Canis lupus familiaris: one gene and its partners. The protein of the gene in region 1 interacts with the protein of each later gene in a pairwise test. Links are inferred from orthologs where the notes say so. Each region holds a gene or a part of one and is shown in the gene's direction. Other genes may lie near its edges.

The links.
Region 2: the proteins of LNX1 (region 1) and SAT1 interact in binary tests that used the Homo sapiens proteins (3 or more experiments, as listed by UniProt). The link is inferred for Canis lupus familiaris from reciprocal best matches to the Homo sapiens genes LNX1 and SAT1.
Region 3: the proteins of LNX1 (region 1) and KHDRBS3 interact in a two-hybrid assay, tested with the Homo sapiens proteins (2 studies listed by BioGRID and IntAct). The link is inferred for Canis lupus familiaris from reciprocal best matches to the Homo sapiens genes LNX1 and KHDRBS3.
Region 4: the proteins of LNX1 (region 1) and ZBTB43 interact in binary tests that used the Homo sapiens proteins (3 or more experiments, as listed by UniProt). The link is inferred for Canis lupus familiaris from reciprocal best matches to the Homo sapiens genes LNX1 and ZBTB43.
Region 5: the proteins of LNX1 (region 1) and RUFY4 interact in binary tests that used the Homo sapiens proteins (3 or more experiments, as listed by UniProt). The two-hybrid records come from large-scale screens. The link is inferred for Canis lupus familiaris from reciprocal best matches to the Homo sapiens genes LNX1 and RUFY4.
Region 6: the proteins of LNX1 (region 1) and LDOC1 interact in a two-hybrid assay, tested with the Homo sapiens proteins (2 studies listed by BioGRID and IntAct). The link is inferred for Canis lupus familiaris from reciprocal best matches to the Homo sapiens genes LNX1 and LDOC1.
Region 7: the proteins of LNX1 (region 1) and RAD54B interact in binary tests that used the Homo sapiens proteins (3 or more experiments, as listed by UniProt). The two-hybrid records come from large-scale screens. The link is inferred for Canis lupus familiaris from reciprocal best matches to the Homo sapiens genes LNX1 and RAD54B.

The regions. Positions count from the first base shown.
Region 1 is NC_049234.1:46,797,172-46,800,671, reverse strand, and holds part of LNX1 (E3 ubiquitin-protein ligase LNX), read left to right. Parts: intron 1-776; coding exon 777-1,148; intron 1,149-3,500.
Region 2 is NC_049260.1:19,543,611-19,547,564, forward strand, and holds the start of SAT1 (diamine acetyltransferase 1), read left to right. Parts: upstream 1-1,154; 5' UTR 1,155-1,349; coding exon 1,350-1,415; intron 1,416-1,631; coding exon 1,632-1,683; intron 1,684-1,773; coding exon 1,774-1,857; intron 1,858-3,261; coding exon 3,262-3,363; intron 3,364-3,456; coding exon 3,457-3,497; intron 3,498-3,642; coding exon 3,643-3,813; 3' UTR 3,814-3,954. UniProt on the Homo sapiens protein: Enzyme which catalyzes the acetylation of polyamines. Substrate specificity: norspermidine = spermidine >> spermine > N(1)-acetylspermine. This highly regulated enzyme allows a fine attenuation of the intracellular concentration of polyamines.
Region 3 is NC_049234.1:31,933,112-31,937,227, forward strand, and holds the start of KHDRBS3 (KH domain-containing, RNA-binding, signal transduction-associated protein 3), read left to right. Parts: upstream 1-1,316; 5' UTR 1,317-1,366; coding exon 1,367-1,454; exon of another isoform or gene 1,455-1,519; intron 1,520-2,371; exon of another isoform or gene 2,372-2,500; intron 2,501-4,116. UniProt on the Homo sapiens protein: RNA-binding protein that plays a role in the regulation of alternative splicing and influences mRNA splice site selection and exon inclusion. Binds preferentially to the 5'-[AU]UAAA-3' motif in vitro.
Region 4 is NC_049230.1:56,548,418-56,552,536, reverse strand, and holds the start of ZBTB43 (zinc finger and BTB domain-containing protein 43), read left to right. Parts: upstream 1-1,319; 5' UTR 1,320-1,478; exon of another isoform or gene 1,479-1,501; intron 1,502-1,821; exon of another isoform or gene 1,822-2,430; intron 2,431-4,119. UniProt on the Homo sapiens protein: May be involved in transcriptional regulation.
Region 5 is NC_049258.1:24,687,349-24,690,848, forward strand, and holds part of RUFY4 (RUN and FYVE domain-containing protein 4), read left to right. Parts: intron 1-381; coding exon 382-507; intron 508-790; coding exon 791-897; intron 898-1,244; coding exon 1,245-1,388; intron 1,389-1,827; coding exon 1,828-1,894; intron 1,895-2,420; coding exon 2,421-2,561; intron 2,562-2,971; coding exon 2,972-3,500. UniProt on the Homo sapiens protein: ARL8 effector that promotes the coupling of endolysosomes to dynein-dynactin for retrograde transport along microtubules. Acts by binding both GTP-bound ARL8 and dynein-dynactin.
Region 6 is NC_049260.1:112,048,995-112,052,167, forward strand, and holds LDOC1 (protein LDOC1), read left to right. Parts: upstream 1-1,258; 5' UTR 1,259-1,405; coding exon 1,406-1,849; 3' UTR 1,850-2,673; downstream 2,674-3,173. UniProt on the Homo sapiens protein: May have an important role in the development and/or progression of some cancers.
Region 7 is NC_049250.1:39,848,663-39,852,746, reverse strand, and holds the start of RAD54B (DNA repair and recombination protein RAD54B), read left to right. Parts: upstream 1-1,284; 5' UTR 1,285-1,418; intron 1,419-3,099; exon of another isoform or gene 3,100-3,156; intron 3,157-3,821; 5' UTR 3,822-3,837; coding exon 3,838-3,972; intron 3,973-4,084. UniProt on the Homo sapiens protein: Involved in DNA repair and mitotic recombination. May play an active role in recombination processes in concert with other members of the RAD52 epistasis group.

The DNA.
Region 1 (3,500 bases):
ATTAGAGGGCCGAGCCCGAGGACGTGTAAGTAGCATAATAAAGTGATCCAGCCTTTCAGTAAGAGGGCCTGGGAGCTCATGCCTATCAGTTTGCTTGAAACTATACAGAGATTTTTTTTTTCCCTTTTTTGTTGAGAACATGGGCAAAAGACCTCATAGGCAGCAACAAACTTCAGACCACACACATGCACCCATGCACGCACATACCTGCACACACACGCTTGCACGCGCACACATGTGCAGTGGCAGGGCCCGGAAGTTCCAGCAGAGAGATGACCCCAGGAGAAAAATTCACCTGGAGGTTTTGGGGAAGAAAGTGTCAGCTCAGTTTAATCTGAACAGCATTTTCGTGTAACCATTTGACCTTCAATGGGAAATTTTCTTCTTTTGCCTTTTCCTTTTTCTTTCTTTTTTTCTATCCACTCCCCACCCCGAGCCCCTTCCCTGAACACCAAGTTGGGCAAGCAACATAAAGGAGGGCTGGGACTGCGTAAATACACCTGGGGCATGTGCAGGGACAGGCTGAAGAGGGAGAGGCCAGCAGAAGGTGCAGGGAACAGGAGGAAAGTGGGGTTAGAAGTCCTGTTGGAAGATGGGCGGGGAGGGGTCTTTGGAATATTTGGACAGAGGAGAAGGTGACAAACCAGAGGGGTCTTTCAGGAGGGGTCCTGCTGATGCTGTGGGGCCGGGCCTTGCAGGAAGGGTTGTTGTGGCAGGTGGGGCTGGCTGATTGGCTCTAGCTTCGGGTCCCCCCCACTGTCCGCCTCCCCATCCAGGTCAACGGGATGGACATCAGCAACGTACCTCACAACTATGCCCTGCACCTCCTGCGGCAGCCGTGCCAGGTGCTGCGGCTCACGGTGCTGCGTGAGCAGAAGTTCCAGAGCCGGAGCAGCGGACAGGCCCTGGATGCCTACGGGCCCCGCAGTGACACCTTTCATGTGATTCTCAACAAGAGCAGCCCCGAGGAGCAGCTGGGAATAAAACTGGTGCGTAGGGTGGATGAGCCCGGGGTGTACATCTTCAACGTGTTGGACGGCGGTGTGGCGGACAGACACGGTCAGCTGGAGGAGAACGACCGTGTGTTGGCCATCAACGGACACGACCTTCGGTACGGCAGCCCAGAAAGTGCGGCTCACCTGATTCAGGTGAGTCACGGGTCATTGCCAAGATCCTGGTTAGCACCTGTCAGCGTAAGTGGGATGCTCGTTACCCTGACCTACCCGCCCTCTGACGACCGTGTGTGACATGCAGTGGCCCCCTTCCCAGGAGTCAAGACTGAAGGGCCAGGTAGGAACATTACTCCAGCAAAAGATGTGTCTCAGGCCCACGGCCATTCCCTCAGTGTTGCCAGCCATCCGATCTGAGTGCCCACGTAGGGGTTGTAACCTAACCAGGTGAAGGTCACTTAAGATCAGCAGCGTTGTGTCATCCTTGGACCCAGTCTGTTATTTGCAGACCCAGGGGTCATTCACATCCATTCTGGACACTTCCAAGACACCTAGGGGTACTAACTCCCATAAGAAGCAGTGCCATGTGCCCTCCAGGAATCCTGTGGATGGAGACCACTGTGGGATTGGCTAAGGCTGAGCCTCCTCTCAATGGCTAAGTCCAGCCTTCTTGGAAAGCCCATGGGAACTCAAGTATGAATCTATCAGAAGGGCCCTAGAAAGAGAGGCATACAAGTGATGTTCCCGATAGCCTGACATTGGTTCAAATGAATTCACTTTCCTGACTGGCATAGCATCATCAAGCCCTAGCCTGGGTCTTGTTGTCTTTGGCTAGGTCACCATGTTTTTCCAACATTTAATGAGCTGCCATCTTTATTCTTAGGACAGGCTTTGTTGTGGGCTCTTGTACTCTAATTCATTTATTCACTCCCTTTAGCCAAGATGTATTAAGTTTCTGCTACTCAGCCAGCCACGGTGTCAGGTACAGAGAACATAGAGATGGTGGCCTCTTAGGCTGCTCTCTCGAAGGAGCCCAAATCTAGTACAGGGGATGGACTTTCTGTAAATAATTGCCATAGGATATGTTAGTACTATAATGTTGTTTCAGATGGAGAGATTTTTCTTGCATGGGCCTAGGAATTCTTTACAGGAAAATATCTTGAACTTGGGGCTTTGAGGAATCAGTAGAAATTCTCTAGGTAGACAAGGCAGGGAGGGTCATTTTAAGGCAATACACCACAAAGGAACATTTCCCTGGAAGGTGGTCTGGAAAAGCATTAATACCTGGAGCGTGGTGTCTATTATAAAAAGCAGCCGTAGCAAGGCAGGGTTGGGAGGCAAGGACCAGATCCTGCGGAGTTTTATTAGCCACTCTAAGAAGCTCAGACTTTATCCTCAAGGCCATGGGGATGTCCCTGGAAGGGTTTAAGAAAGGAAGTGACATGATTTTCTAGATCTCTCTAGAGGTAGTAGAAAGCTGATAGGGGAGGGGCCCGATTAGAGGCCTTATCGTATGAAGCGTTTGCAATTACCCGGCACACCACGTCAGCTTCCAATTAAAGTATTAATACTTCAAGAAGAGACAGCGAGTCAGCAGCAGTAGTTGACTAAACCTTGTACCAAGCTCCGCGGAGGATGATAATCAGAAGACATAGAGTACTTTCGAGAACTTGGTCGCTTACGCACACACACAAAACTCCCTACCCTGGGTTCCGGCCATGGAGTTCCTGCAGGTGTTCACAAGTCTCTTCATTGTCGTGTGTGTGGTATCTTCTCCTTCTTCCCAAGGAGAACCAAGGAGTGTGTGCTACTGTCCTTTTAGGTGTGGACGGCCTGAGGCAAAGAGTGCAAGGAGACTTACCCTACGTCCTCTGTCCACCAGGATAGGAAGCACATGGGCTGTCCCACTCTTGAGGTGATGCTTAACGTGATGGATGTTTATCTGCCTAACAGGCCCTGAGGCCATAGTCTGTGGAGCAGGTGGAGAAGAAAATCAAGAGTTATGAGGCATTTCCCCTCTTGAGTTGATGCCATGCATTCCCAAACCCGCATGCCCGGCTTTAACTTCTCTGAACACCATACTCGTGTAACCAACTCCCTACTTGGTATCTCCATGTGAATATTTTCAAATATTCAAACTTCAAACTTCATATCTAAAACCAAATCCTTGACTTCTCTCTACTCCTTGTCAAACCTGCCCTTTCCAGGTTTCCATCCTCTTCCAGTCTCTAGGAATGGCACAATTTATGCAGCTATTTGGGCCAGAAGATTTTCTCACTTTCTTCAACATGCTCTTTTTGGAATCCATTTCTCACTACCTCCATGGCATCCATGAGCCATGCTACCACCAGCACGGTCTCTGCGAGAGCCCTCCCAACTGGCCTCCTTGCCTCCGCACATGACTTCCTACCTCTGCTCTCTACAAGGCAGTTAGACGGCCACTCTACAAAATCAGTCCTATCCTGTCACTCCCACACTCAGCTCTCCGATGCTTCCCAAGACACCTAGATTAAAATCTCCAAATATTAGCAGTGGCCTTCAGAGCCATAT
Region 2 (3,954 bases), on another chromosome or scaffold:
TTTGTTCTCAGGACATTTAAAAATTACTGAAGAATCCAAAAAGCGTATCTTTGAAAATTCTATGAAACATAAGAATACACAAGCACACATCCCTTTAGTCACCAGAGCAATGTCATCACACATTCTGTAAATCTGTGATCATTTGAAAATGAAAAGTTAAAGAAAAGGGGGGGAAAGCAGCACAGAGAATGGAGCAAGTAGGGATTACATCAACTTTCAACAGCGATGGAAGCCAGAAGGTAACCTGACATCACCACTACACTGAAAGAAAATAACATCCAACCCCAAACTCTATAAACAGTGAAAGAAATCCTTCAAGATGAATTGAAGACATATTTAGACAACCAACGCAGAAAGTTTTTCTGTACTGAAGGAAATTGTGAAAAGTGCCCGTCAGGCAGGAGAGCGTTTCCACAAGGAAGGTCAGAGATTTAACAAAGAATAAGAAGGAAAGAAAATTAGGAAAGAACGCTGTGCTAACTCTAAAAATTACAAGTATGAGAGAAAAATTATTGAGGAATCCAAATAGTTTACCTTAGGAAACTGTAGAAAACACAAGAATATACAAGCACGCATTACGTTAGTCATCAGAGCAGTGACTTCACACACACACATCAGGTCGCCTCTGGAAAATTCCCACAAGAATGAAAAGGGGCAGTGACGCCTCACTATTATTATGAAACTCGTTTTGACACAGACTCCCTGAAAGGACCCTGGGATCTGCAGGGTCCCCCACAGCACACTTTAGAGAACCGCTGCTCTCATCCTCACGTTGCCCAAGGCAGGTTCTCCTGAGTTCCACTCCCCTCCGGCCAAGGGAGAAACGGCAAGGTCACCGGCCCGGGTTCACAAGAGGAACTACTCTTTTCCTTTCGCAAAGGTGACCGGGTGACGCACAAGCTAGAAAGTCGGGTTTCCGGGAAGGCGTCGAGAGGCGCCGCGAGAGGGCGCCCCGAGAGAAGCCCGCGGCGCGCCTCGCCCCTCCCGCGCCCCCGCCCGCGCCCCCGCCCGCGCCCGCGCCTGCGCCCGCCGGGTTCACACGGAAGCCCGGAAGAGGGGGAGGCGCCCGGAAGAGGGGGGCGGTCGCGGCCTCATTGGACGAGCTGCCTCCGCCTCACGCCCGGAGGCGGGGCTACTTGGCCCTAAAAAGCGGGACCCGGCGGCCGCTAAAGCGCGCCGTTCTGGTCGCAGTCTGGCCGACGTGCTCGTTGCTCGCCGAGGTCCGCCGGGTCATGGTGCCAGCCTGACTGGGAAGAGGACGCTCCGGGGAGACGAATGAGGAACCACCTCCTACTACTGTTCAAGTACAGGGGCCTGGTCCGCAAAGGGAAGAAAAGCAAAAGACGAAAATGGCTAAATTCGTGATCCGCCCGGCCACCGCCGCCGACTGCAGTGACATCCTGCGGCTGATCAAGGTAGCGGGAGGCCCGGGCCGCCCCTGGGGAGGGGGAAAGTGGGGAGCCGCTCCGGCGGGTTCCCCTTTGTCCGCCCGCTCCCCCCAGCTTCAGCCGGGCCGCTCGATTCTGGGAACGAATCGCCGCCCCGCCCACCCCGTTCCCTCTGAGCTGCCTGGGCCAGGGCCTCACTTAGTTTTCTCCCTCTCTCCCTTTCTCCCGTGTGCATCGCCCCAGGAACTGGCTAAATACGAATACATGGAAGAGCAAGTAATGTTAACTGAAAAAGGTAACGCGACTGTACCAGGGCGGGGGAAGGGTGTCTGGTACTTGGCATCTTCACCGAGGCCATCACTGTCCCCGATGCCCCTTCTTGCAGATCTACTAGAGGATGGTTTCGGAGAGCACCCTTTCTACCACTGCCTGGTTGCAGAAGTGCCCAAGGAGCACCAGTCTCCGGAAGGTAACGCCGCCCCCCCCCCCCCCCCCCCCCCCCCCCCGCTTCCAGAAGCCAAACACCAAGTGTTGTATAAAACATAGAGTGTCTGTTGTGTAGAACCACTGACAACGCAGGCCAAAGTTACTGAGAAATTGGCCAGAAATAATAGCCAGTGTTCAAACTACTGAGGAAAAAGAAAATAGATGTCCTGCACATAATAATAGGGCGGGTTGAAAGAGCTGTTTAAGTAAGTATCAGAATGCTGTGGAGACCTGGAAGGGTTAGGTATAATGTCATTTATTGTAATTCAGTTCTTGTTTGACCCTAACGTAACCTTTTTTGTAATTGTGTTAAATCACATTTTTTTCTTTAATTTGTCCCAATCTTCAGGTTACAGTCTCTAGCTTCGCCATGTACATGGCCCTTCCGTGTACATGGATGGGCGGGGAGGTAACTAAAAGATCCTTTACACAATAAAGTAGATGATCATGATAAATGAGGTAAGGTCCTATTATCACACACTTAAAACACGGTAGATCAGAAACTCCAGTGTACTCTCTTCCTGTGTTTGCAAAGGACTATAAAATGGCTAGAAAGTTTAATTTGAAACCTTTGCCTCCATTTGAAATTATAGACACCCTATTTTTATAGGGAGTCAGATTGTTTTATTTTTTTTTTTTTTGCTGGTCCCTGTTGACTGGTCAGAAGACAGAGCTAAAAGGGGAAGTTGTTTGGGTGGGTGCTTCACTTTTTTCTTAAGTCTCTTCCCCAAGCTAGAAGAAATGAACGGAAAACATAAGGGATGAGGTACTTTTTGGAGGTATGTGGATGTTACATAAGAGCTATTTCTGGGTACCTCTGCTTCTTCTGGCTTAAAACTGGGGAGAGCAAATTGAAAATCTGAATTGGAAGGCAAGTTCTGAAATTAAACGTTACACTTTTGATGGCCTGATGTCCTGACCTTAAGGAAGCAGAGTTTCTAATCTACAAATATTTACTATTCTGAACTGCCGTGTAAACCCGACTTATTCCCAAGTCAACATACCAATATATCAATAGGATGTGAATAATGTGTGTGTTTAGTTTAAGACTACAGCAGTTTTGCTCTGGCAAGTAATGAAAGTCTCACTTCCTGGGGTGTGAGATCCAGCAGATCGCAGAGTGGCCAGTCCCATGATTTTAGCCTCGCTTCAGCTAGCTCTAATGTGTGCTTTTTGCAAATACATGTCCTGAGAACAGTGAGATCATCCAAAAGTGGCCTGGACTGCACTAGCATAAAAATCAGGAGACAGTCCCGTTTCAGTGCCTACTTACTTCTATAATACATGCATGTTTATTTTCTAAAACCTATGATAGGCTTCTGATTTTGCAGCTACAACTTTTATGGGTTGCTTTTCGTTCACATCTCATGTGATATTCTTATTACAGGACACAGTGTTGTGGGTTTTGCCATGTACTACTTTACCTATGATCCATGGATTGGCAAACTGTTGTATCTTGAGGACTTCTTCGTAATGAGTGATTATAGAGGTATGGCTGAGTTTAGGAGGAGATGCCCTAAAGAGAAACCAGGACTTAACATCCTGAAGATGACTTTTTAAATGGTACTTCTCTTTCTTTTAGGCTTTGGCATAGGATCAGAAATTCTGAAGAACCTAAGCCAGGTACGTCTTGGTTTGGGGGGAGGGGCAGGGGGTTTGGTTTCCAGATTTGTAAGGGTTACTGAATTATTTTAATGACTGGAACAGATTTGGGTCTTGGAAAGCAGGTGAAATGTCACTGAGTTTGTTTTACTCTCCCTTATAATAGGTTGCGATGAAATGTCGCTGCAGCAGCATGCACTTCTTGGTAGCAGAATGGAATGAACCATCTATCAACTTCTACAAAAGAAGAGGTGCTTCTGACCTGTCCAGCGAAGAGGGATGGAGACTCTTCAAGATCGACAAGGAGTACTTGCTAAAAATGGCAGCAGAGGAGTAAGGCGTGTGCCGGTGCAGACGATGACAGCTTCCATTCTATTTTAGATTAAGTTCTCAACTGATCTTGCTTTCTATCCTGTTTGTAGTCAAATAATAGAATGAACACCCATTCCAAAGCTTTATTACCAGTGGCGTTGTTGCA
Region 3 (4,116 bases), about 15 Mb from region 1:
TCTTACTGGGAACTCTGGAATGGCACTTAGCTGGGAGCCTCAGCAGTCTGGGGCGGGGGAGGGAGATGGGGTGCTTGTGCTTGAGGGCAGTGGGTCCTGGGGGCTGGGACTTAGAGCCGGTTGGTGCTCCTTGGTTTCCACTCTCAGCATCTCTGGCTGTGGAGGACTTCCTGCGCTCCAGAGGAAGGGTCTGCTCCAGGCAGTTGGCCTTCCCCCGGTTTGTTCCTTCAAGAAACATCTCTGGTGCCCTCACACTTGTCCCAAAGTCACCAGGTCCCCCCAGCCCCTAGCTCTGCCCCTGAGATGCTCCTGGTGTCATGAACCTACAGAATTACACCTGTGAACCGGGAGGGACCTGGCGCAGGGGTGGGGAGGGGGAGCATGCTGCACTGACCACTGTGCAGGGGAAGTCTTGGAAAGCTGTGGGGGTGCGGTGGGGTGGGGTGGGGAAGGTGACACTGGGGCCAGGACAGCGAGGCAGGACAGGCTCAGAGTCCTTGGCCTGCTGGGGGATGGGGGCGGGGGGCTTGGGGGGCATTTACTCCACGCGCGCAGGGGAAGGGGGGTAAGGGGCAGAGGCTATGGCTCGCACGTGCCCCTGGGGGACTCTCCCCACGGGGGACTCTCCCCACGAGCTCGGGCCAGGCTGTCCTCCTCCCCGGGCGCGGCGGTTATGGGTTGTGGGAGGGGAGGGAGACCAGCAGGTGACGAAGCCGCCCTGAAGGGCACGCGCCGTCGCGCGACGGTCCCGCACCTGGGCGCGCCCCCCAGCTCGGTGCGCACAGCGGGGATGGGTTAGGGGGGTCCCGGGAGCCGCGTGGGGCGAGCCCCGGCCGCCCTCCCCGACCTCTCCCCGGGCACCCCCGCGGCTGACCTTGGGCGGGCCGCGCGCCCGCTCCCCCGGGCCTCAGTTTCCCGATCGCGCCCGGGGGGCCGGAGCGGGGCGCGCGCACCGCGGGAGGCGCCGGGACGCCCTTGCGGGGCCCCCCGAGGCGGGGGCGGGGGCGGGGGCGGGGGCGGGGGCGGGGCGGGGCGCGCAGGCGCAGGCGCGGCGGGCGGGGCGCGGGCCGGGCTCGGGGAGAGCGCGGGGCGGCGCGCGGCGAGCGGGTGGCGGCGGAGCGGGGCTCGCCCGGGAGCGCTGCAGGCTCGCCCAGGGCCCGCGCCGCTGCTGCTCGGCCCGCTGCGGGGCGGCGGGGGCCACCCGGGACCGGCCCCCACCCCTTGCCCGCGCGTCCCCCTGCCGCCGCCTCCGGGCCGACCTCCCGGCTTGGCTCCGCCGCGCCCCGGCCGCCGCGCCGGGCCCGGGTTGCGCGCCGCTGGGGCGCGGGCGGGGTCGGGGGGTGCGGGGGCCCGGCGGCCGGCGAGCATGGAGGAGAAGTACCTGCCGGAGCTGATGGCGGAGAAGGACTCCCTGGACCCCTCCTTCACGCACGCTCTGCGGCTGGTGAACCAAGGTGAGGGCGCACGCCGGCCGGCCCCAACCGTCGCCCGGGGCCGTTGGGGTGCGCGGGGGGCGGGGGCGGGGAGGGAAGCGCGGCGCTCGGGGGGCCGACCTGGGGCGGGCGGGGGCCCCGGGGGCGAGCTGGGGGCGGCTGGGTGGGGACCTGGGGCGACGTGGGGCGCCTGCGGGGGCGGGAGCCCATGCGCCCTTGGGGGGCCGGCGCGGGCGGGGGGCGCACAGGCTGGGGCGCTCGGATGCGGCTTGAAGCCCCCCGGGGACGCGAGGGGACCCGAGGGGCGCTTGCGGGTGCGCGTCGGCCCGCGTCCGAGGGCTTGGCCGGGGCGCGGGGCGCGGGGGGCGGGGGTTGAAGGATCTCATTGGAGGGGAGTTTGTGAGGGACTCGGGGACCCTATAGCGCGCTCGAGTTGTCCAGGGAACTGGAGAGGAAAGAGCTGGAGCAAAATGGAAGGATGTGAGGGGATGAAATGCACACGAGGTGAAGAAGGGAACAGGTGCTTGGATTGTTGGTGAAGTTTGAGGACCTTGTGGGGGAGGTTTGGGGTCAGGGCATCTCGGAGTAGAGGGACCCCGCGGTCCGCGTGGCCGAGCCCGGCTCCTCTGCTCTCCTCCTCCTCCTCCTCCTCCTCCTCCTCCTCCTCCCCCCACGCCGAGGCTGGAGCCACCCTGGCAGGTGGTCCGCCCTCCCCGGGGCCGGGCAGCTCCTGCCGAGGCTGGCAAGCTGGCCCTCGGAGGGGTTGGTGGGAGAGAAGAGGCCCACGCAGTTGCCCCCTTCTTGGCTTGCTTGGCTTCTCTTTGGGAGGCTCCGGGGGAGGGGGGTCGCCCTCCCTGGGGGCTGGCCGCTTAGGGATCGGGAAGACCGGGCAAGGAGTCTTTGCTGCCTGTGCCATTTCAGCGCTGCCCCCGCCGGTTCAGGGTGTGAACAGTCCTGCAAAGTACGGGGCGCCGGGGATCCAGGGACCTATGGAGGCGTGCCTGCCCGGGACAGGATTTCCTGGCTCGTTCTCTTCCTCCAGCCTCCTGAGTAATCTGGGATGGATGGTAAATCAAGCCTCCCTTCCCAGGAGCAGTCCTCACTTCCTTCTGTATCCGTTAATCCGTGTTTCGGATCAAGATGGGTTTGGGGGCCACTGGTCTGTTTTGTGTGTGTGTGTGTGTGTGTGTGTGTGTGTGTGTGTGTGTGTGTTTCCCCTCTCTGGGTGATGGCAGAAACATTATCTGGTCAGATCTGTTACCTTTTGCCTGAATCACTCAGTGCAGTGACAGTTTGTGGTTCCCGAGTTAAATCGGCTCTGCTGATCTCAATGCTGGCTCTGGCTCTTTTATTGTTGGAAGTGAAAGATGAGGCAGACATATTCTATCTGTATATAGATATCTATTTTTTAAAACAGCAGCCTCCAGCATTCGGCTGTTCCAGCCAGTTCTTCGGAGTAGGGTGTGTTGTCCGCTGATGGTGGTAGCGGAGAGGCTCGGTGTCTCCAAGAATTTGAAGCGTGCATGCTGTTTGAATGGTTGAGCAGAAATCTGTTTACAGAGCTTTCCCATTTCAATTGCAGGCTTTTTTTTTTTTTTTAATTTCTTTAATAAAGTGGGCTTGTGAAAAAGTAATGGGCTTACATTCTTAAATCAGAGAAAAAGAATTTTGAGCTTTGTTCCCATGCTCTTCTGAACAGTTCTGCAGTTAGGTTTGTACTCCTTGCTCTTCATGATTTACATATATCTTTTGTTGCCTGCTGGGCTGTCATTTCTGTGAAAGAAATTTCTTTGTACGTTGTGTGAGATCAGTGGCATTAGCAGTATTCTAGATTGTGGAATCAAGTGCGTTGTTTTTTAATAAAGAAGCTGACAAAGTTATGTTGTATTCAGTTAAGGAAACAGCTTAAAAGTGTGATGAGTTATCTTATTTTGAAACTTAGAATTTTTTTTTTTCCTCTGTGCCATATTGCCATAGTACTGTGTTGCTAACACGTTAAACATTCCTTTGGTTTCTATGTTTCTCCTAGCATTAATGGCCTCTAGTTACTTAGAACAGATATTGGACAATGTTGCCATTTAGTATTTTTTTTTTTAGATGTTAAATCTGATTACCTTACTTTTCCATAAAAAATGTGATTTGGGTAAGAAATGCATTTTTCACATTGAACAGTTCTATGAAAGAAGGAAAAGGTGCTAGGTGGATGCTCTCTTTACTGTTAATTTAGATTACTTCAGACTGAAATGTTTTGCCCTTAAATTATAAGCTGATATCCAGAATGCAAAGCCCTATCATTTAAAATACTAATCGTGCTCAATTATGTAACTTCAGAATTACAAGAGCATTTTTAAGTGTCTCAAGTCTGAATTTGAAGGGTTAATTAGAAAGCTTTGATTTTGAATCTGATTACCATCTTGTTATTGGCTATAGTAAAGCATTTTTAGTCTTATTTAGCTACAGTTTTGACTCTTTGCCTTGCAAAGAAACTCTTTTTTTTTCAGAGTTTATTCTGAACTTCAATGCATTAGCGTTCCGGCACTAACTTGTACAGTGGTGATGGTCCGCGGTGAATGCAATACCTTATGTTTTCGTGGAGTGTGTGCAAGTTTCCGAGGCTCCTTACGGTACATGATGCCCAGTTCCTGTCTAACACTTGCACTCTTATCAGATCGACACGATGTCT
Region 4 (4,119 bases), on another chromosome or scaffold:
ACCTATCTCCAAAGATGATTTTCAAAATACTTATCAGCATAGCACACACCCTAAGCAATCAGAACAGAGGCAGACTGTATCCCTGGATAACTTCTCAACTTCAACTCTAACTTCCTAGGCTTGCGTTTCTGCTTTCTTCCTGGCCTCAGATGATTTTTCCTGATTTCCTCACAAGTTTATCTACGTATTGAAAAGGGTGCTTTCAATATCTCTCCTCTTATTTTAATATATTTTGTTGCTGTCATATTTGAAGAGTCCTCGGTTTCGTTAGAAATAAAGTCTGAGGGACGCCTGGGTGACTCAACGGTTGAGCGTCTGCCTTCGGCTCAGGGCGTGATCCCAGGATCCAGGATGGAGTCCCACATTGGGCTCCTTGCAGGGGGTCTGCTCCTTCCTCTGCCTGTCTCTGCCTTTCTCTCTCTCTCTCTGCCTCTCATGAATAAATGGATAAAATTAAAAAAAAAAAATCTGAGTAAGAAATGTTAGGCACATGTAATAAAATATCCAGAGGTAAGCTAGAACTGTAGTTTAATGTCACATGAGACCTAGGCTCTTTCAATCTTTCCATTTTGCCAACCTTAGCATTTGCTTGTCCCATCATAGGCACGTGATGGGGACTGAACTTCCAACCTTCAAGTCTGCTTAGGGGAAGGAAGAGAATAAAAGTGGCAAAGCACTTGAGCATACTCAACTAGAAGTCCTACTGGACTTTCTTTTCTTTTCTTTTTTTGTTTTTTTGTTTTTGTTTGTTTTTTCTTTTCTTTTTTTTTTTTAAGTATTATGGGCTAGAAAAAAAATAAAAATAAAAAAGTATTATGGGCTAGGAGTTGGTCACATGACTATGCTTTGTCTAACCACTTGGCTCATGAGATTACTGTGAATAGTTTGGACTAACCATGAGGCATTCCTCCTAGTAGCAGTGAAGATCTACCTCCCCTGAGATCAAAGGGTCTCTTCTGGGACCTGAACAAAATGAGGTTTTTCTTAGAGGGACCCAGCACAGCGCCTGGCACAGATGGAACTGTTCCTGTCCTTGTACATTCCCTGAGCATCCACTACGTGCCAAAGGCCCTCGGAGACAAAAATGGATTCGACACGGCCTCTGCTAGGCAGCATGAGAGAGATCAAGTCTGAAAAGGGGTTAGGACTCGGTGTCAGCTCCCTCATTCCCAGCACCGGCCTCACCCGGAGTCCCTGAAGACAACTGACCCGCGCCAGGTTGCACTGCGCAGGAGTAGGGCGGCAGCAGCGCGCTCCCCTCACGCCCCGCCCCGCAGGAGAGTCCCGCATGCGCACAGCGTTTTCTCTCTGACGCACCCCCGGAAGCACTGGCAGTTTCGGGGGCGGAACCGGGAAGCGTTTCCGGGGGCGGGAGGTGCAGGCTGAGGCGGTCGCGGCGGCTACGGCTTGAACGGGCCTGTCGCTGGCGGCGGAAAGTGTCCCGCGGGCGGGTTATGTGAACGCGGAGCCCTTAGCAGGTACGGCGAAGTCGGGACGACAGGTAGCGAGGGGACAGGGAGGGCAGCCGGGGAGGTTTAAGGGCTTCCTCCGCAGGTCCCGGCGCGCGCGCGCCCCCCGGCCCGGCAGGCCCGTTCCGCAGACCGGGATGCTCAAGAAGCCGCGCTCGGGCGGTTGGAGTCCCCGCGCCCGAGGCCGACTCCTGCGGCCTCCAGCCAGCCCGGTGCGCGGGCCGCGACACCCAAGGCCCCCGAAGCAGCGTCTCGCCCAAGGTCACCCCGCGGCGGCGGACCTCGGCGGGCCGGAGCGCTTAGAGATCCCGCCTGGGAACGTCCGCCGGCCTTTCGGGGGCGCCGTGTGGGTGCGGCGAGGCGGCCTCGGGTTTGAGCCGAAGCCGGGAGACAGGCAGCACCCGGCCTTGGCTGGTGCCTGCCTCCGTTTGCTTCTAAGTAGTGTTTCCCCTCTGTTGACGTCTCTGTCACCTGTTGTCACCTGCCCTTTCTGCCTCTGAACTCCGCCACTATCGACTTTGTATTTCTCCCCAGTTTCTCTTGCTGAGCACACATCTCTATCTGCACCCCCCCCCCTTTTTTTTTTTTCTTCTTCTGTCTCTACTTTGCTTATGTGACTCTTGACCCTGTGTTTCCCTCTCAGTCCTCACTCTCATTCATGGCCTGCCTGCCTGCCTGTCAGCCTTGCTCTTTGGCCGTCTGTGTTTCTGCCAGTTTTGTGTCTTTCTCTCTTGTTTGTGCGTCTCCTAACTAGGTTTGTCTGGGCGGAGCAGGGCAGGCTTGCCCGGACCTCTGAGCCATGCAAAATGACTCATGACCCCGTGAAGCTTCCTGCAACTGGTGACAGTCTCAGTGACTACACTGCAGTCTGGCCTCAACTCTGACAGGTGCCGCCCAGCCCAAGTGTGCCGGTGCAGGAACGCCTCGTGGGAGACAAACCAGAGACCATCTCAGGGCCAGAGTATCTTGATACATACTTGTCTTTTTTTTTTTTTTTTATGCATGGCTTTCTGGCCTGCACAACCCTCCACTTCCCTTTGCTCCAGCCCCTTACCCCAGGATGGCCTCCGGGGCTCTCAAGAGCCTGCTCTTTGCGTTACAGCTGCTGAACTAGACCTGTCCACAGGCTAAGGAATAGTCAGTCTAAGATTCTCTGCCTCATGGGGCTCATGGAATAGCAGGATTTCTGAGAAAGCTGTATGCATAGTTCAGAGATTGTGTCAGTATCTACAGTTAAATGATAAGAAACCTAATAATTTGGGATTCATTCTTTTCTTTACTAAAGTACTCACCGGAGAAGTAAACCAGACACAAAAGAACAAATATCTTATGAGGCCACTCATGTGAGGTATCTAAAATAGGCAAATTCATAGGGACGTACGTAGAATATAGCTTATCAGGGCCTGACAGGAAGAGATGGAGCATTATTGTTTAACGAATACAGAGTTTTAGTTTGGGATGATGAAAACAGTTCTGGAAATGGATAGTGGTGATGGTTGCACAATGCTGTGAATGTGCTTAATGCCACTAATTGTACACTTTAAAATGGCAAATTTTATGTGAAGTGTATTTTACCACAGTACAGAATAAAACCAAACAACCAAACAACCCAAACTGCTCTTTGGAGAAGCTTGGAACTAAGCAGCTCTTTGAAAATGTGATTTTAAAAATTTATTTTGTGTGTCTTTGGAATATTTAGTTGAACCTACGTTTGTTGATACCTGCTTTTGTCATAGCTAATGTCCTCAGAAAAGGAGTTCAGTTAAAAGAATTTGCTTAAAATCTTCCCTTAAGCTTTCTACTTGTGGCAAATTCCTGCCCTGGCTCTTCTCCCTCCATGTTCTTGGATTCAGTGTAGGCATCTGCTGCAGACCCATGGGAAATTTGAGGAAAGATTTTACTTTTTACATAAAGAAAACTTTAGGGTTGGAAAAATAGCCCTGTTATTATGATAATGCAAAATTATGTGTCATTTCCTGTGTGTTTTCTGATGGGGGAGGCCTTTATGTTACGTTCTCTTATTTAAGCTATCAGGTTGCCAGTATGGTAGTTTTTCAAGCTTTCTTGTGAGATATTGCAGCTGAATTAATACTGTATTGAATCCTAATACCATTGATTGTTTTCTGTACCACCAAAGGAGAAAAAAACACCGTCAATTTAGCTATGACATGTGCTTTTTTAATCATTTAGGCTTATAAAAATTCTTAGTGAGAAAATATTTTTAGACTTATTTAGACATTTTTAAATGACATCATTCTAATGCTAAATAAAAAGAAAAATAAGTGAAATAAATTGGCTAAAGTGTTTGTTAAATTTTTAACATTCCTACTCTTTTTGAATACTTCTCAGTTCAGAGTTGGGTCCATACTTTTCCAGTGTCCTCTTTTGTGCCTTCAGAAACACTGATGTGGCTCTCAGGAATGCTCTATCATTGTCTCAGGCAGTGACAAGCATTAAAATTTCCACTTGGCCATCATATCCTGATTGCAGAAATTTTGAAATATGCCTCTTAAAATCAGTCGAATGTACTCTACGTTTTTATGAACTTTTATTTTTTCCCTTTTTTTTTTTTTATGATAGTCACACAGAGAGAGAGAGAGAGAGAGAGAGAGAGGCAGGGACACAGGCAGAGGGAGAAGCAGGCTCCATG
Region 5 (3,500 bases), on another chromosome or scaffold:
ACGAACTTTCTATTCTCGTTCCCTGCTTTATTCTCCTTGGCAGGCAGCGCTGTCTAACATAACAGATGTTTTACTGACTCAGTGTGTTCGCTAACTCCACTACCAAGTACATGCCCAGGAGGTCAGTTTGTTCATCGCTGAATTCCCAGGGCACGGAACAAAGTCTGGCACAAAGCAAGTGCTCAACAAGTACTATTGGAACGATTGAATGGAACACCAAAGGCTCAGAGAGGTCCAGCACCTTGCTCGTGGTCACACAGCCCGTCAGGGCGGAGCCAGGCCCGTCTACTGTAGCCCTTTCCTCTCTCAGCGTGCTGGAAGGCAAGGCCGCTTCTGGGAGGAAACATCTCTATGCTTTCCTGTCCCTCATCTCGCTCCCAGTTTGACCAGAAAGAGCAGAAGAGCTTCCTGAGGCCTCGGAAGGATTACTGGGACTTCCTCTGCACCGCCCTGTGGCGGCAGCGGGGTGGCACGGAGCCCGTCCACTTCGTTCACTCACAGGACAAGGTGTCCAGAGCCAGGTGGTAGGGTGGCTGGCCTCAGCATCAGGGGGTCCTGTCATCGGCCCTTTGTGGGGAATGGCCTCCGGGGGCCCCTTTCTCACCCATCCCTGCCCCGCAGACCACAGACCCCTCACCTGGTCCTCACATCTCATTAGCCCTGCCCTCAGCATCCCTCCGGCCACCCCTTTCCTCCCATGATGATACAAGTTCCCATATCGTCTGTCTGTGCTGGCTGAGTGCCCCCCAGCCCCCGGCCCCTCACCATTCGCCCCCTGTGCACCTTGCAGCTGAAGACTCCTCTGGCAAAAGGCCGCACTCTCATCCGCTTCTGCTTGGCTCAGGGACAGCTGGCCGAGTCCCTGCAGCTCTGCCTCCTGAACACAGAGCTCACCAGGTGGGGCTGTTGGGACGTGCTCCTCCTGACACCCTTGGAGCCCACTGTCCCTCCCTTGTGCAAGATGCCTCTCTCCCCGCCCCCCTGCCCCAGATGGAGGGTGACTATCAAGAGCAACTAAAATGAGAGCCATGAGGGAAAAATCAAGGAAGAAAGAGCAAGGGGGGCGGCCAGAACACAGGAGTCCCCGTAGCACCATGATGCTGAAGCCTCCTGCTCCCCGAGGGCCACACCCTTGCCTTGGGAACCATGCCACGTCGTGCACAGCGGAGGCAGATTCTCGGGGTGGTGGGGGGAGCAATAGCACCAAGGCCAAAGGCCAAGGCTGCTGCTCACTATTAACACAGGGAATGGTATGGCCCCCGGAGCCCTCTGGTGTGCCCCGAACTCCGGGAAGACCTCCTGGACGCTCTCTACACTCTCAATGCGGTGGCCTTTGACTTGGACCTGCAGTGGCCAAACCTAGACGAAGCCTGGCCCATGTTCTCAGAGTGAGTGGGTCCAGCGTGGAGGGAAGCCTGTCTCCAGTGCCTCACTGCCGTTGACCACCACCCACCCACCAGTGAGCTCCAAATTCGGCCTCTGGTCCCATCAGTTCACCTCCCCTTCTTGCGGTCCGAGGCCCCGGTTCCCCACCTCCCCAGGCATCTGTTTGCCCAGTGTAATCCCGCCAAGTTGCGTGGTGCTGCATACAGGACACACTCCTAAGGAGTTGTTGGAGGGTCAGAAAGATGAACCCATGGCGGGTGTCAGCATGAGTGGCTGGCGGGGTGCGTGCGTGGATGGAGAGGGGCATGCATCCACGAGGATGAGGGCGGAAGGTGGGAGGGGTAGCACCGTGAATGGGGGGTTGGAAAGATGGGATGTCCTGCAGCTGAGCACCAAGGCCACTGCCGGAGAGAGCCCCCCCGGCCCCCCTTTTCACTGCAGGTCCTGTGGCTCCAGCGCCAGGACCCAGGGAAGAAGACCCAGAAAGACCAAAGATGCCCCGAAGCAGGTACCTCTGCCCAACTTCACTCTGAGTTGCCTCCTCTCCATCTCTGTTGGGCCCCCCAAGGATGAGCAGTCACAAGCAGACAGACAGACGCCAGCGTGTAGACCTGAGGACTGGGAAGCCACAGGAGAAGGAAGGGCTCATATTCCCGAGGTGGTGAGGGTATTGGGGAGAGAAGGGGACCATTGGCACCCTACACGGGAGCCAGGGAACCCAGGGAAAGGGGGCAGGGGGAGGGTAACCAGAAGCATGTAGGATGCACACCAGGGAACAGCCTCCATGTGACAATTTGCAAACATCTCAGTTCAGTTCAGGAAGCAACTGAAGAGCCAGGTTTCTGGGTTCAAATCCCAGTTCTGCCCCTAATAACAAAGGTCCCTGGCAAGGTACTTGTCCCCCCTGGCAAGTGGTCGTGAGGATGCTTTGAGACAGACCTCATGTAGCACAGAGCACGGCCCCTGGCCACATGCTCTCCAAGTGGTGGCTTGTGGCTCTTGCCGGTCCCCAGTCTCGCTTTGCACCCCATCAGCTTCCAGGCACCAGGTACAGAAACCATGAGGACACAGCCTCCGACCAGAAGGGGGAGTCCGTCACAATACAACCTGTCAAGCGCGGTGATGCGGGTGTGCACAGAAGAACATGGGAGCACAGAGAAGGCTGCCTGAGAGAGGTGACTCTTGGCTGCTGTGGGTCTCTAAGCTTTCACCACAACCCTACGAGGCAGACGCTATTATTCCCATTTTACAGACAAGAAAACTGAAACACAGAGAAGTTCAGGGGGCAGGGTCAGAGCAGACGGTGGGAAGAACTTCGTGGGAGGCAGATCGATGCAGAAGGCGCAGGGGAAGGAGGGAGGGAGGAGAGGAAAGAACAGGGAGAAACGCCACTGCTCCCTGACCAGACCACAGCTCGGCCGGATCCGCCTGGGGCGATGGGAACATTCCGATTCCTGGGCCTGGACCCCGATCTCCTGACTCAACTCCCTGAGAGTTAGCAAGTTCCTTGGTGAAAGTCTGTGGCCCCTCCTACGCACCTGGTTGGTGAATTGGTTGTGAGGGAGTTTTGGGGGCTTCTCTGCAGATCTCAGCCGCACATGCGGACCCCACAAGAGTCCAGCCAGAGGAGCCGCACACTAGCCACGCCGGCTGTCGGCGAGATGCGCCCAGGGAAGACTGGTTAGCTGCACCCCCCAGGTCGCAGCAACACAGGCATCTTCGTCCCTCCATGGAAAAGAAGAGAGAAGATCCCAGGAGCCTCGGGCCCCCCCAGAGCATGTGGGAACCAGAGGGGGAGGGGCTTCAGGGAGCCCCAAGAACAGGATTCTGCCTGGAGAACTCAACACCCAGCATCCAGGGACAAGGGGAGCGGGCCGAGGGAGCTCCGAAGGAGGTGATAGGGACAGAGGCTGAGGACAGAGGCGTCCTACCTGGTGCAGAGGGGACACCTAAAGGGGGAGCAGAGTGGGGTCATGTCCATAGGCTGCCGGCCTCCAGCCCCACAGGGACAATAGAGGACACTATGCCAGGGAGCCGGCAGGAGCTGGAGGTGCCTAGCCTTCCGGGGGACCCTCGGGTCCTACTACGAGACCTGGGAGCAGAGGAAGACGCCG
Region 6 (3,173 bases), on another chromosome or scaffold:
ATACGTACTTGATACAATTTAAATAAGTTAGGCACACTAAGACATTACTAGCTCATGTGATAAAATAGAATGTTTGTAACACATAACTATTATGCAAGTTTCAAAATATCTCTTAAAGTATCTTACTGTCCTGTACTCACCCTTCTTGTGATGACGTGAGATGATAGAATGCGTAGTGATCCGACGCCAGGCTACTGGTTGATCTTCTGGTGCCAGGTCAGAAGGAGGGTCAGCTGATTCCGGATCAAACCACCCTTGGCACGGGTGACTGAAAGCACCGGAGAGCAAAACCGTGGATCAGGAGGGACTCCTGTGTGTACTGCAGGAAGAGAAGAGTGAAAGCTAAGCAGTTGCAGCAGTCTGGGTGGGATAAGGAAGGCTGGATCAGGGTGGTATAGTGGGAGAAGTGACTGATCTGGGGATATATTTTAAAAGCAGAGCCAACAAAATTTCAGCTCTAGGGTCCTGGACTCAACGATTTAAATAATCCAGTTCAAAGTAGAAAGCCCAAAGCATTTAAAAACACAAGTGTTCATTGTTAAGCAACAAACAACATGCGACCGAGGGCCAAGGGGCATTAACAGGACATGAAACAGAGGGTCAAAGAGAGGCGAGAGCCTGCAAATCGTTCTCCAGTGGTGCTTTTGCAGAAGTTTTTATACTTGACTGTTTAGAAAAAAATACTTTTTAAAAAAGGATGTAGGTATACAATATTGTTTCCCAACTAAAGAAAAAAAAACCCCATTTAGATATTGTTTTGTTTTCAAAGAGGAGCCCCAAGGAAGGGTCTTTCGCAACTCCGAAAGGATGCGTGGCTCCCGCGGGGCAGGCCGCAGCGCCAGCAGTTCCCTGGGTGAGTGGGATTTCAATAAGCGAGGACGTGTGTCACCGAAACGCGCAGGTGGAATCTCGTAGCCACAGACCCACCAAGGAGCCCCGCACTGTGTGAGTCGGCTGAGTCCGAGCGTGACCGATCCTTTAAAGTTGAGCAGGTTGGCCCTCTCTGAGCTGGCTTTTGGCGGTCCCGGGGCGCACATCCGGGGCTCTAGCGCGGGAGCCTGCCCTTCCCGGGCGCCGGCCTCGGGAACTCCGGCCGCGGGCCCCCGGCTCCCGCCCGCCCCCTCCCTTGGACCGAGCCCCCGGCCCCGCCCCCGGCCCGCCGGCCCCGCCCCGGCCCCGCCCCCTCGCGGCGCCGGCAGCGCCCTGACCACGCCCCCCGACCCGGGCCGCGCCGGCGCGCCGGCCGCCCGAGTGGCTGTGCGGGCGGAGCTTGCGCAGCAGCCGGACCCCAGCGCGCACCGCCCTCCGCCCCTGGCCACCGTGCGCCTCGGCGGACACGCACTTCCTGCGAGGCCTCCGTGCGCACCTGAGCCGAGCCCAGCCCTGCGCTTGCAAGCCGTTCGCCATGGTGGACGAGCTGGTGCTGCTGCTGCACGCGCTCCTGATGCGGCACCGCGCCCTGAGCATCGAGAACAGCCAGCTCATGGAACAGCTGCGGCTGCTGGTGTGCGAGAGGGCCACCCTGCTGCGCCAGGTACGTCCGCCGAGCTGCCCGGTGCCCTTCCCCGAAACGTTTAGCGGCGAGAGCTCCCGGCTCCCCGAGTTTATCGTGCAGACGGCGTCTTACATGCTCGTCAACGAGAACCGATTCTGCAACGACGCCATGAAGGTGGCATTCCTAATCAGCCTGCTCACCGGGGAAGCCGAGGAGTGGGTGGTGCCCTACATTGAGATGGATAGCCCCATCCTAGGTGATTACCGGGCCTTCCTCGATGAGATGAAACAGTGTTTTGGCTGGGATGACGACGAAGAAGACGACGACGACGACGACGAGGAAGATGATTACTAGGCCGGGAGACCCTCGGGCCCAGGGGGGAGGGCCCTGCACGCCGCCATCCTCTCCCCCGCCTCTCCTGCCCGGCCCGGAGCCGCCCAGCGCCCTTCCGCCCTCCCATCCCCTTCCCTACCCCCAGCTCTCCGGTTCTCTCCGTCATCCCCCTGTAGTGCTTGCCTTTGTTCCGGTTACCTGCTGCTGGGGCCTCGCTCGGAAGCGCGCCGCCACCCACTCTGGCCAGCCCCGGGGCCCTCCCCTGCTGATTTGGACTGTGTCCTGAGCCCCAGCTATAGGGCAGGCCCCTGTTACAAACTGGTCAGACCACGCACAGCCCTGCCCTGCCGACTGCAAGGCCTCCATCTGCCCAGAGACCTACGCTGCCACTTCACCACCGTCCACCACATTCCAGCGACAGAACACAGCCTTTGAAAATAAGGACCAACCTAGAAGATGCCTGAGTTGGCTCTATGTCCTTGGACATTGATTTGGACAGCTCACCAGCCCCTGAAGGGGCCAGTCTTTCAACCTGGTTAGTTCCCTGCCTACTCCCAGGGTCCTCCCCTTCCCCACCAGATTGCTGCAGGGGCCTAGTGCGCCTGGCAGCCAAATTGTTGACATTTCTTTTCTCCTATGCACCAGTTTTGCACAGCTGTCCTTTTTCTTTCCAAACTGCAGCAGTCCCAACAGATGTGTGCATTTGGACAGAAATACTAAAAACAAAACAAACAAACAAAAACAGGCACTCAGCCCAGCTCCTCAATACCACCTGGAAAAAAGCATTTACGTTCTTTTCAATAAATATCAAGCACTACAAAAATAAAGAAAGGAGTGTCTTTTAATGGTTAAGTGCTATCATTGGCCTCTTCCAATCTCACTCTGACTCCCGTTATGCCCCCTGAGGTCAGGGAACTTAGTTCAGTCCCAGTATTCGCCACTGTCATCTCTAGGCTACAGAGGACAACTACCACAGGGTTTTCTAGGAATTCTGGTACTCTCCTCACCAAGGCATTTCTTAAAGCCCTGGCAAAAGGAGTGAGTGTCCTCTGGGGCCTCCAGGGTGGCATGGGTAAGGGGTGGCTGAGCAGGTGGCACACCATCCCAAACTGGGACACTTGAGAGTTAAAGGGGGACACTGTTAATAATTAGACTAGGACAACAGGCATAAATCTGGACACATACAATGTTATTATCTTCTTGAGCCTTTGGATTCCTTACTCAACACTGCCAGAGAAATTCTGTCCCTTAAGTCTTGTTGCCCGCGGGGCGCTGTTGAGTTCAGACTTCAGTTAACTACGTAGCATATTGTTTTAATGCCCCTTTCAGGTGCTTGAACTGACAT
Region 7 (4,084 bases), on another chromosome or scaffold:
CTAGTACAGTTTGGTAAAACTTAGTCTTCTGTAATTTTCACATCTGTTTTAGAGTAAATGGCTTTTTTTGTTTTTGAGAGAGAGTATAATCGGGAAGAAGTAGAGAGAGGAGAGAGTCTTAAAAATAGCCTGGTGCTTAGCCTTCAACATGGGGTTTGATCTCTCAACCCTGAGACCATGGCCTGAGCTGTAATCATGAATGAGATGCTTAACCATCTGAGCCACCCAGGCACCCCTAGAACTAACGGCTTTTGAAAATCATGCTGAATGATGAAAATTGTATTCACTTATTTTAAGTAGGCTGCACACCCAACATGCCCAATGTGGGGTTTGACCTCATAACCCTGAGATCAAGACCTAAGCTGACATCAAGAGTCCAGTGTGCAACCGACTGAGCCACCCAGATGCCCCTGTTCACGCATTTCTAAGTGTTTTGTTTAAACTGGAGTATTCTGATAGATCATACAGTGACACGGTTTGGAGATACTTTTTTTTTTTTTTTATTTATTCATGATAGTTACAGAGAGAGAGAGAGGCAGAGACACAGGCAGAGGGAGAAGCAGACTCCATGCACCGGGAGCCCGACGTGGGATTTGATCCCGGGTCTCCAGGATCACGCCCTGGGCCAAAGGCAGGCGCCAAACCGCTGCGCCACCCAGGGATCCCGGTTTGGAGATACTTTTAAAAAAATATAGATTTTATTTCTTTGAGAGGCAGAGCAAGCATGAGTGGGTGAGCCTGGAACTCAGAGGCCTCAATGCCAGGAGCTGAAACCAAGAGGAGGCTTAACCAACTGAGCCACCCAGGTGCCCCTGGAGATACTTTTGCATTAAAGGCCTAGGACCTGTCTATTTCCTTGCCTTGTCACTATATTAAAGGGTATCAGGCCATTGTTAGTTTGCCGATTTGTGCCAGGCAATTTAAGGGCCTGTATTATTTTAGCAACACTGCTAAAGTCACTTCATTCCTAACGTGCTGCACGATTTAGGAGCTGCGCGGGCAAGGACGTCTGCATACCGTTTCTCCAAGCACAGACCATCCACCTGCAGCGAACACACCTGTGTCGACGTTCCAGATTTAAGCTGTGTGATCTGCTCTAAGATGAGGTCTGTATCCTCAGCTCCTACAGCGGGTGACAGGAGGCCATCAACAAGGAAAGAAATATTTTTTCCAAGTAGATATTTCGGAGCAGGACCACACCTCGGACCCGGACCGCAGGCGCTTACGGGGCCGCGCAGAGACCCGCGCATGCGCAGTCGAGGTCGTGCGAGCGGAGCCGGTGGAGGGCAGTGCGCGTGCGCGGCCGGCTCGCCCGCTATAGGCTGCTCCGAGGCGGGAGCCTTAACCTCCGGGAGGTGACGGGACCTCGGGCGCCGGCTGTCTTGCTGGGACGCGCGGCTTCTGTGGGATCTTCGCCCGTACGTCCTCGGAGGGGGCGGCTTGGGGGGCTGCGGCGGCCTGTGCGGGACGGCGTGGGGAGGGGCGCCGAAGGGGGCCTGCGGGGGCGGAGGGAAGGAAGGCGGCGGAGCGGCGGGGGGAGGGGAGGGGAGGGGTGCGGAGCGACGGGGGACGGAGCCGAAAGGGAAGGGGCGGGGCCGAGTGGGGGCGGAGCTAGAGTGTGAGGGGGAGGGGGCGGAGCTAGAGTGAGGGGCCGAGTGGGGGCGGAGCTAGAGTGTGAGGGGGAGAGGGGGCGGAGCTAGAGTGTGAGGGGAGGGTGAGGGCGGAGCTAGAGTGAGGGGGAGAGAGGGCGGAGCTAGAATGTGAGGGGGAGAGGGGGCGGAGCTAGAGTGTGAGGGGGAGAGTGGGGGCGGGGCTAGAGTGAGGGGCCGAGTGGGGGCGGAGCTAGAGTGTGAGGGGGAGAGGGGGCGGGGCTAGAGTGTGAGGGGAGGGTGAGGGCGGAGCTAGAGTGAGGGGGAGAGAGGGCGGAGCTAAGTGTGAAGGGCCGAGTGGGGGCGGAGCTAGAGTGAGGGCGGGTGGGGGCGGAGCTAGAGTGAGGGGCCGAGTGGGGGCGGAGCTAGAGTGTGAGGGGAGAGTGGGGGCGGAGCTAGAGTGAGGGCGGGTGGGGGCGGAGCTAGAGTGAGGGGCCGAGTGGGGGCGGAGCTAGAGTGTGAGGGGAGAGTGGGGGCGGAGCTAGAGTGAGGGCGGGTGGGGGCGGAGCTAGAGTGAGGGGCCGAGTGGGGGCGGAGCTAGAGTGTGAGGGGAGAGTGGGGGCGGAGCTAGAGTGAGGGGGGCGGAGCTAGAGTGTGAGGGGGAGAGGGGGCGGAACTAGAGTGAGGGGCCGAGTGGGGGCGGAGCTAAAGTGAGGGGCGGGTGGGGGCGGAGCTAGAGTGTGAGGGGGAGAGGGGCGGAGCTAAAGTGAGGGGCCGAGTGGGGGCGGAGCTAGAGTGTGAGGGGGAGAGGGGGCGGAGCTAGAGTGAGGGGGGAGAGGGGGGCGGAGCTAGAATGTGAGGGGGAGAGGGGGCGGAGCTAGAGTGTGAGGGGGAGAGTGGGGGCGGGGCTAGAGTGAGGGGCCGAGTGGGGGCGGGGCTAGAGTGTGAGGGGGAGAGGGGGGCGGAGCTAGAATGTGAGGGGGAGAGGGGGGCGGGGCTAGAGTATGAGGGGAGGGTGGGGGCGGGCTAGAGTGAGGGGCTGAGTGGGGGCGGAGCTAAAGGGGGCGGGGGCGGGAGGGATGGGGCAGGGGCGGGGGGACGGAGCTGAATAGGGCGGGGGCCGAGTGGGGGAGGAGCTAAATGCGGATGCGGGTTGGGGCGGATATAAGATGCGGGGGCGGGGTCGGGATGGAGCTAAGGGGGAGGGTGGGGCGGAGCTGAAGTCTGCGGAGGTGGGGGGGGGTCGGGGTCGGGGTCGGGGGTGGAGCTAAAGTGTGGGGCGGGCGGGTCGGTCGGGGCGGAGCTCATGTGTGCGGGCGGTGGGAGTCGGAGTGGGGGTCGGAGCGGAATGCGAGGCGGGCAGGGTTGGGTTCGGGAGGGATGGGGGTCGGGGTCCGGATCAGAGCTAAAGTGCACGGGGCGGGGGGGGGGGGGGGGGGGGGGGGGGGGGTTGCGGCGTCGGAGGATGGGGACGGGGTCGGGGTCTGGAGGCGGGGCGCGGCCGGTGGGGGTCAAGGCAGTGTCGGGGCCGGAGTTGGAGTGTGCGGTCCGGTGCCAGGAGCATCGGGTGGGGGGGGGGGTCGGGGGCGAGCTGGGGCCGGGGCTGAAGAGTGAGGGTGTCGGGGTCGGGGGGGTCGGGTGGCAGCAGGGTCTTGGCGGTGCGCAGGCCCCAGGGAGGGGCGACCGCGGGCCGGGGGTCTCCCTGCGGGGCCTCCCTGTGGGGCCCGCCCGGTGCTGGGCTGTTTGCCGGGGCCTCCCGAGTTGGCCCGCGGGGCTGGCAGGGTCGGGGCCCCCCCCCCCCCCCCCCCGTGCGTGGGCACCGTGGGCGGCGCGGTCAGGAGCCACGGGGGTCCCGGGGTCCCGGCGGGGCCCGCTGCTGGGGGGGTGGAAGGCGGAGGGCGGGGTCAGCGGGGCGGCGGCTGGCCGTCGGCTCCTCCTGCGCAGAGGGGTACTGCTGGCGCCCTGGAGGCCTCGGGGACCCGGGCCCCCCTCGCATTCTCCAACACGCGGGCTCACGTTTACGGCATCCTGCTTAAGTCCTCGATTCCTTACAGGAGCCCTTTGTGATGAAAATAAAATCTTACTGGCTGTTAAACTTATATTTTAAGGCTTTTTGGCATATTTAGTCTCTTACTGTATTTTTAAAGATACGGTTGTAGCGATGAACTGTTTTCCTATTTGGAGTTAATTCTATCAGATGCATGGATGATCTGTGTTTTGGGTATTTTTTAGGTCGGTACTGCTGAATATGAGACGGTCTGCAGCGCCAAGTCAGTTGCAGGGGAATCCCCTCAAAAAACTAAAATTCGTACCACCAGCGAGAAGTAATCCAAGTCCAGATGAAGGGATTACAAAGATGAGTCCTGATGTAAAATTAATTGAGGTAAAAAAAAAAAAAAAAAGGAAGCATAATATAGAGAAGCACGCACTTTTTAAAAAAGACATGTCACTTAAGTTAACAGTACGTCGGGCAGCCCGGGTGGCTCAGTGGTTTA